Linked DNA regions of Callithrix jacchus. The protein of the gene in region 1 interacts with the protein of each later gene in a pairwise test. Links are inferred from orthologs where the notes say so. Each region holds a gene or a part of one and is shown on either strand. Other genes may lie near its edges.

Region 1 (3,917 bases):
CACACACACTTCTGCAATCTACTCTGCCTCAGTGACCGAGGGGTCTTTCTAACCCCTGGGATCTCTGACTTTGGGGACAGAGAGAATGGCTTGAGCAAAGGTGTGGAGGTATGCATATGTGAGGTGGAGGTGAGGGGAGCGTGGCCCTCCCACCTAAATGGTTCGGGGAAGAGGGTGATGGCTGCTCAGGAGATGGGAGGGAGGCACTGTCTGGGACTATGTTAAGAACAGATAAGTGACAGGAAGGGCTGGAACCAGGACCCATGGGAAGAGAGGAGGGTCCCGGGGTCAGGCTGCCTGGGTTGAGTCCTGGCTCCCCTACTTACTAGTTGTGTGGCTTGAGGTGGGTTACTTAACTTCTGCAGCCTCAGTTTCACCTTCTGTAAAATGGGAATAACATTACCTACCTCACAAGACTTTTTATTTTTTTTTTGAGACGGAGTTTCGCTGTTGTTACCCAGGCTGGAGTGCAATGGCGGATCTCGGCTCACGGCAACCTCCGCCTCCTGGGTTCAGGTAATTCTCCTGCCTCAGCCTCCTGAGTAGCTGGGATTACAGGCATGCGCCACCATGCCCGGCTAATTTTTTGTATTTTTAGTAGAGATGGGGTTTCACCATGTTGACCAGGATGGTCTCAATCTCTTGACCTCGTGATCCACCTGCCTCGGCCTCCCAAAGTGCTGGGATTACAGGCTTGAGCCACCGCGCCCGGCCCCAAGACTATTAAATGAGTTGTACATAGGAAGTATGAAGGAAATATTAGCTGTTGTGATGTGAGATGTTCAGGGGATAGAATGACAGGGCTCACTCTCTGGCTGAAGGAGGAGAAAAGAAGGATTTCAGTCGGGCATGGTGGCTCACGCCTGTCATCCCAGCACTTTGGGAGGCCAAGGCAGGCGGATCACTTGAGGTCGGGAGTTCAAGACCAGCCTGTCCAACATGGAGAAACCCCGTCTCTACTAAAAATACAAAATTAGTCAGGCGTGGTGGCACATGCCTATAATCCCAGCTACTTGGGAGGCTGAGGCAGGAGAATTGCTTGAACCTGGGAGGTGGAGGTTGTGGTGAGCCGAGATCGTGCCATTGCATTCTAGCCTGGGCAATAAGAGCTAAACTCCGTCTCAAAAAAAAAAGAAGGATTCTGAGGCACCTGTGAAATGGGCAGTGCCTTCCTCTCTGCCCAACCCTGACTAGCTCTCCACCCACCTCTCCAGGGCTGGAGGAAGCACTTGTGACCTTGAGCATTACTCCCCCACACTGGGTAGAGGGCCAGCCAGAGCATGCTGGGAGAGGCCCTAGACTAGCTCCAGCCTCTGTCATTTCCTCCACACCCATTCTCAGAGGAGTTGGGGGTGCCTCAAATGATGTTGGATAATTTTCTTTTTCCTTTTTCCCCCAACCTCTTCATCTCCTGCCTCCCCCAGGTGGCCCTGGTGGAGGCACCCGACATTTACTACTGTTCTCTGGCTGCTGGGGCTCAGTCAGCAAGTGATACTTGCAAGGAACTGTCCCTGACACTCCTATGGGCAGCATTCTAGGGCCATCCATGCTCCGTCTGGGATGGGGAAACCGGGGGCAACCACTCCTGTTCCTGACACAGCAATGAGAGCAATGGCCCTGCCCACTCCCTGACAGCATTCCTCTACCCTCTTGTTTAACCCAGACCCTGCCACAGGGCATGGGACACAGGATTTGTTAAATGAGTGAATAGAAACTACTAGGGATGGGCCCAATGGTGTGCTAAGTATTCAACCAACATTTGCACATTTTTTCACATTGAATTCCTATAACCACCCCTATCGTGAGTATTATTCTCATTTCACAGATGAGGAAACTGAGGCTCAGTTGCCCAGGGCCCCCCTGCTAGCCAGCAGCAGGGCCAGGCTTCCTACCTCAGTCTCTGCCATGCCAGAGCCCCATTTCACCACCCCCACCCACGCTATTACGCACCCACTGAGGGAGGCTTGGCTAAGAGGTGTGGGGTAACAAGCTGTGCTGTGAACCAGGAGGCCCAGGGCCTAGCCTGACTTCCAGGGACACTTGCTATGTGACCTTAAGCAAGTCACAGACCCTCTCTAAGCTTCTGTTGCCTCAAAGACAGTAAGGCGGAGGGCCTGATTTGCCCCATAATAATTTATCTGTGGTGTGGTCCTGGGGAATTTGCACTTGTACATGGCAAAGAACCCACTGCCATGAGTCTGGTACTTCCCAGGGCTGCTGGGGTCTTATCTCTCCAGCTGCTCCTCTGGCAGTGGCTGCAGAGGCTGGAGCCTGAGCCAAACACATGCTCCTGTGTCAGCAGAACTGGCTCATCCAGCATCTCCTGACCTGCCCCCCAAACCCCAGAAGGTCCCCCTCTCACCTGCAGACATCAAGCTGATTCACAGTGCCCAGCACACACACGGCATGGGTGGGCTCCTCTGGGGACACACGGATCAATGTCCCCTGGGCCATCGTCTGGCTAGCTTGTCCCTCTGGCTGTAGGAAGCCCCTGGTCTGATTCTTTTATACCGCCCATCGGAGGCTATGAGTCAGCACCTGCGGTCGGTGGCCCAGAGGCTCAACCCCTCCCCACTCAGCTCAGGGATGTGGGCTCTCAAAATCACCTCTGCCCTGGGGCTGCCCCTTGGACCTCCAGATATGCTGGTACAGTGGCAGGCTGGCTTTGTCAGTTTCCTGGGAAGGACGGATGGCTGAGAAAGGCTGGGGTGGTGAGTGGGGCTGAGGGGCTGGGTCCCAGTCCTCGAGCCCATAGCCCCATCCCTGCCTGGAGACCCTGAACACAGATCTGTCCAATCTCACCTATGTCAAACAGGGGAATCGGAGAGAAGGGGAGAAAAGCAGGGAGATCTTAGGTAAGAGGTCACAGCCCAGGCTACACGTTCAAAGACCAGCCAGGCTTGGGACAGGTCCCTCCACCTGGGCCACCCACATGACAGCTCACTTCCTTGGTGTTTCTTTACACCAGCAGGTTTTCCTGCACTTCACATGGAATAGCTCATTACGACTAACCTGTGAACTAGGTAGTACCATTATCCTCTTATTTCACCCTCACAGCAGGCCTCTGACGTTGGTGCCATTGTTATACCCATTTTACAGAGGAGGAAACGGAGGTGCAGAGTGCTGACACAGCTCGAGAGTGGTAGAGCCAGAACTGGAACCAAAGGTGTCCAGTTCCAGAATGTGAGATTCATTCGTTGCCTGTCTACATGACACACGCTTTTCAGACTGTATCATGGCGACATCTCACTACACTACAAGGTATGTGTGGGCTTATTATTGCAACCCATTTTACAGAGGGAAAACTGAGGCTCAGAGAGTAGAAGTGACTAGGTCTTGCCCAAGGTGCCAGAGCTAGCTTGTGGCAGAGCTGGGAGGAGGAGATGAGCTTCCTGGCGTGGACGCTGATGTTCTCTGCATTCTCCAGGACACCTGCCTCCTGCCAGGGCCTCTGGGTGTTAGATCACATAGTGAGCCACCCTGCCAGGGGGACGCCCATGTGGCCACAGAGCTATGGTTGCACCTGGGCCACCGGTGCCAGGCTCTGCCTTGGAATGGGGCAATTGGGGGGTGGTGGAGAAGTCCCAACAAGGAGCACTAAGAGGGCGCATGCATGGGGTCTGGCCTAGCTTCGAGCATTTGGTGGGTTGGAGATTCTGCATTCATTTCTGTTTGCTTGCTTTGGCTTTGAAGCAAATAATTTGCCTCATTAATTCAGAGCCAGGCCCTGGGGTCAGGCAGACTTCAGTTCAAATCCTCCCTCATGTCAACATCCCCATGGGGTGGGTCCTATCGTGATACCCATGTGCAGATGAGGCCACAGAGACTTAGAGAGGTTGAGTGAGACCCCCAGGGTCCCACAGCCCTACAGTGGGTATCTGGGTCCCGATCACCTTCTCTAGGCTCAAAGCTTATCT
Region 2 (3,817 bases), on another chromosome or scaffold:
ATTGGCCAGGCTGGTCTTGAACTCTTGACCTCAAGTAATCTGCCCACGTTGGCTTCCCAAAGTGCTGGGATTATAGGCGTGAGCCACTGCACCTAGCCAAAGACTAAATTTTTACCTTTCCTGTACCTCTTGTGATTCTCAGCATGGCGCCTGCAGAATACGATGGTGGTTTAGGAATATGGGCTCTGGAGCTAGACTTCCGGGTGTTCGCATCCTTGCTCTATTAATTTCTCACTGAGAACCTTGGGCAAACTGCATATCCTTGCTATGCCTCAGTTTTCTCATCTGTAAATTGGGGGTTAATTGTATCAGCCTCATAGAGCTGTTGTGGGGATATAATTAATCTATTAAGAACAGTGATCCACACATCCTAAGTACTCAGTAAATATCACCTAGTATTATTATTAGCAGGCACTCACTGAAGTATTTGATGAATTGAATTGAATCTTTCAGGGTGAAGTTTGGATAGGGGATATAAGTAAGCTTAAGAAGGTGGGCACAAGATAACTCAAATTCATTTAGATGCTAAAAGGCCATTTACCTTCATCGATTTATAAAGCTTTTCAGCAAAATATGCAGATTTGTTCCTTATGCACTTTACTGTCAAAGAAAAAAAAGAAGAAATGAAAAGATTACAGATAAGATCCATGAAAAAAGAAAAGTGACAGTTGCTTCCTCTGTTTCTACAAGGTATCACTATTTGCTTTGCCAGGGAAATTTTAGCCAAGTGATGTTTCATGAACATAGGCTATGCTGTATGTATTTTCACAGATAGAAAGTACCCTCGATTTATCATCAAGTTTCTGGAGAAGTAATTGATAAAGTCTCTCAAAGCAAAGGGTGGTATTTAGTTTCAAAATAAGGATTACTGTCTCTGCCATATAAGACAGTTACTAGTTCTAACCATTCACAGACTTGCAAGCTATAGCTTGTATATCTGTACATTATTACCTTTCACATAGGACATATAAAAGCACAGAAGATACAAAATATACAAACCATGTGGCACAATAGCAGTCAGGTTGTATGTAATATTTCTTGTTTAAAAATCTGGAATGCAGGCCGGGCGTGGTGGCTCCTGCCTGTAATCCCAGCACTTTGGGAGGCCGAGGTGGGTGGATCACGAGGTCAAGAGATCGAGACCATCCTGGCCAACTTGGTGAAACCCTAGCTAAATAAAATACAAAAATTAGCTGGGCGTGATGGCACACGCCTATAGTCCCAGCTACTCGGGAAGCTGAGGCAGGAGAATTGCTTGAATCCAGGAGGCGGAGATTGCAGTGAGCTGAGATTGTGCCACTGCACTCCAACCTGGCGCCTGGCGGGAGAGCAAGACTCTGTCTCAAAAAAAAAAAAAAAAATCTGGAATGCACCATGAGTGAGTCAAACAAGTTTTGTCTCCGAAAATAATTATATAACCCTATGTGGCAAACCGATAATGAGAATGAAAAGCTACAAACTTTTTTTCCTCTACTCCCTACCTGCTACCAGCTTACCTATAGCCAGCAGAGCGTCTTCAAAGCTACCAGATGTTTCAGATTTAATACTTTGTTCAATATCCTTCTGTGATATCCTTTTGTATTCATCAAACACTGCAAACAACAATAAAATGGTATTATCAGGAATAAAAAATAGAGGAAACTAATATTTATGGAGAGAATGAGCATTTTTAACTAGCCTACACTATTTATTCTTTGGCATATTTCAGGAGGAAACTAATTAGTAAAGTGCGCAAGCACCCAGGAGGGATGTGCAGAGTGGAACAGGTCCCAGACAAGGAGGAAGAAATGCCATGATGTGTGCAGGACATCAGTCAAGTCCTTTTCCTTCTCTGGGACCCTCCCACATAAAATGGAGACAGCCTCTGGAGACATTTGCTTTCCTTTCTCATTGTTTCCTTAATAAGCAGAATGTGTCTTTTTGTGATTTTGGCATTGGCAATCACCTCCCCTTCATCTCCCTTTTGGCTCATCAAAACTAGAGCAATTCAACCTCTTCAAAAGTGAGTCATAGTTAATAACAGCTGGTTGCATCTTTTAAAATACTTAAACAATTACATTTGTTGGCTTTTTTTTTGCCAAGTATTTTTTAATGTGGTATGTTCCCCTCTCGTTGTCTCTTTCTGGAACCTTCTTAGAACAGGTATCTATTTTATCTTCTCACCATCGCCTTCTTTGGGGTGCTGCTTCACTTCCATCAGTGTGATTTTCACAGGGCTGTCATTCAAGAGACACCATACCCAATAACACACCTCTGCCAAACACATGAGCACTTCCCCCAGTCAGGACCCATTAGACTCTCTCCTAGGAACTTTTTAACTGGGCAGCTCACAGGGATGGCCAAAAGCACTGCCTCATCTTTACCCTCAGAAAAACCTGTTAAACTCGCTGGGTGTCATGCTCAGAGATTCTAATTCAGCCAGTCTCAAGCAGGGGGTCAAGAATTAGCATTTTTAGTAGAGAACAAACTTCAGAAACTCTGCTTTAGAAATAAAATACATGCCAGGTGCGGTGGCTCACACCTGTAATCCCAGCACTTTGGGAGGCTGAGGTGGGCCAATCAGCTAAGGTCAAGAGTTTGAGACCAGCCTGACCAACATGGAGAAACCCCATCTCCACTAAAAAATACAAGATTAGCCGGATGTGGTGGCAGATGTCTGTAATCCCAGCTACGCTGGGGGCTGAGGCAGGAGGATTGCTTGAACCCAGAAGGCAGAGGTTGCGGTGAGCTGAGATGGTGCCATTGCACTTCAGCCTGGGCAACAAGAGTGAAACTCCATCTCCCAAAAAAAAAAAAAAAAGAGTTAAAAGAAAAGTAAAAAAAGAAATGATTCCCTTCTGCTGAGACCCCCAGAACTGCCTTGCTTTCTGTTCTTCCTGAAGGTGGTCAGCTCTCTGTTCAAATTTGTGAGCTACCAGTATTTCCATTTTCCCTCTGTGTCGTTCTATATTATTTCATCTTTTCTTACTTAAATTGAAGTCAGTGTGTATAGCTTGGAATCAAAGAAATTAATTGACACATTTTCTAAGCCTCAGTTTTCTTCACTGTAAAATAGGGAAAATAATTACTGCTCCATTGAGTGGTGCAAGAAACAATGCTTATAATATGCTTAACACAGCACCTAGAAAATAGAACATTATTAACAAAACCTTAGTGATTGTGAAACCTCACCATTATTGTTGGTCAGTAAGAAAATCATGAAGTTTTCCTTATCCAAACAGTGCTTAAAACATTTTCTTCCAGTGGCTTACAAACAGAGGTATATATATTTTTTAATTTTTTATTGCATTTTAGGTTTTGGGGTACATGTGCAGAACGTGCAAGACAGTTGCATAGGTACACACATGGCAGTGTGTTTTGCTTCCTTTCCCCCTTCACCCACATTTGTCATTTTTCCCCAGGCTATCCCTCCCCAGCTCCCCCTCCCCCGCTGGCCCTCCCCTTTTCCCCCCAGTAGACCCCAGTGTTTAGTACTCCCCTCCCTGTGTCCATGTGTTCTCATTTTTCATCACCCTCCTATGAGTGAGAATATGTGGTATTTCATTTTCTGTTCTTGTGTCAGTTTGCTGAGAATGATGTTCTCTAGATTTACCCATGTCCCTACAAACGACACGAACTCATCATTTCTGATTGCTGCATAATATTCCATGGTGTATATGTGCCACATTTTCCCAATCCAGTCTATCATCGATGGGCATTTTGGTTGGTTCCAGTCTTTGCTATTGTAAACAGTGCTGCAATGAACATTTGTGTGCATGTGTCCTTATAGTAGAACGGTTTATAATCCTTTGGATATATACCCAGTAATGGGATTGCT

The links.
Region 2: the proteins of PADI4 (region 1) and ANXA4 interact in binary tests that used the Homo sapiens proteins (3 or more experiments, as listed by UniProt). The two-hybrid records come from large-scale screens. The link is inferred for Callithrix jacchus from reciprocal best matches to the Homo sapiens genes PADI4 and ANXA4.

The regions. Positions count from the first base shown.
Region 1 is NC_133508.1:54,197,110-54,201,026, reverse strand, and holds the start of PADI4 (protein-arginine deiminase type-4), read right to left. Parts: upstream 2,460-3,917; 5' UTR 2,455-2,459; coding exon 2,363-2,454; intron 1-2,362. UniProt on the Homo sapiens protein: Catalyzes the citrullination/deimination of arginine residues of proteins such as histones, thereby playing a key role in histone code and regulation of stem cell maintenance.
Region 2 is NC_133515.1:44,085,955-44,089,771, forward strand, and holds part of ANXA4 (annexin A4), read right to left. Parts: intron 1,593-3,817; coding exon 1,497-1,592; intron 601-1,496; coding exon 542-600; intron 1-541. UniProt on the Homo sapiens protein: Calcium/phospholipid-binding protein which promotes membrane fusion and is involved in exocytosis.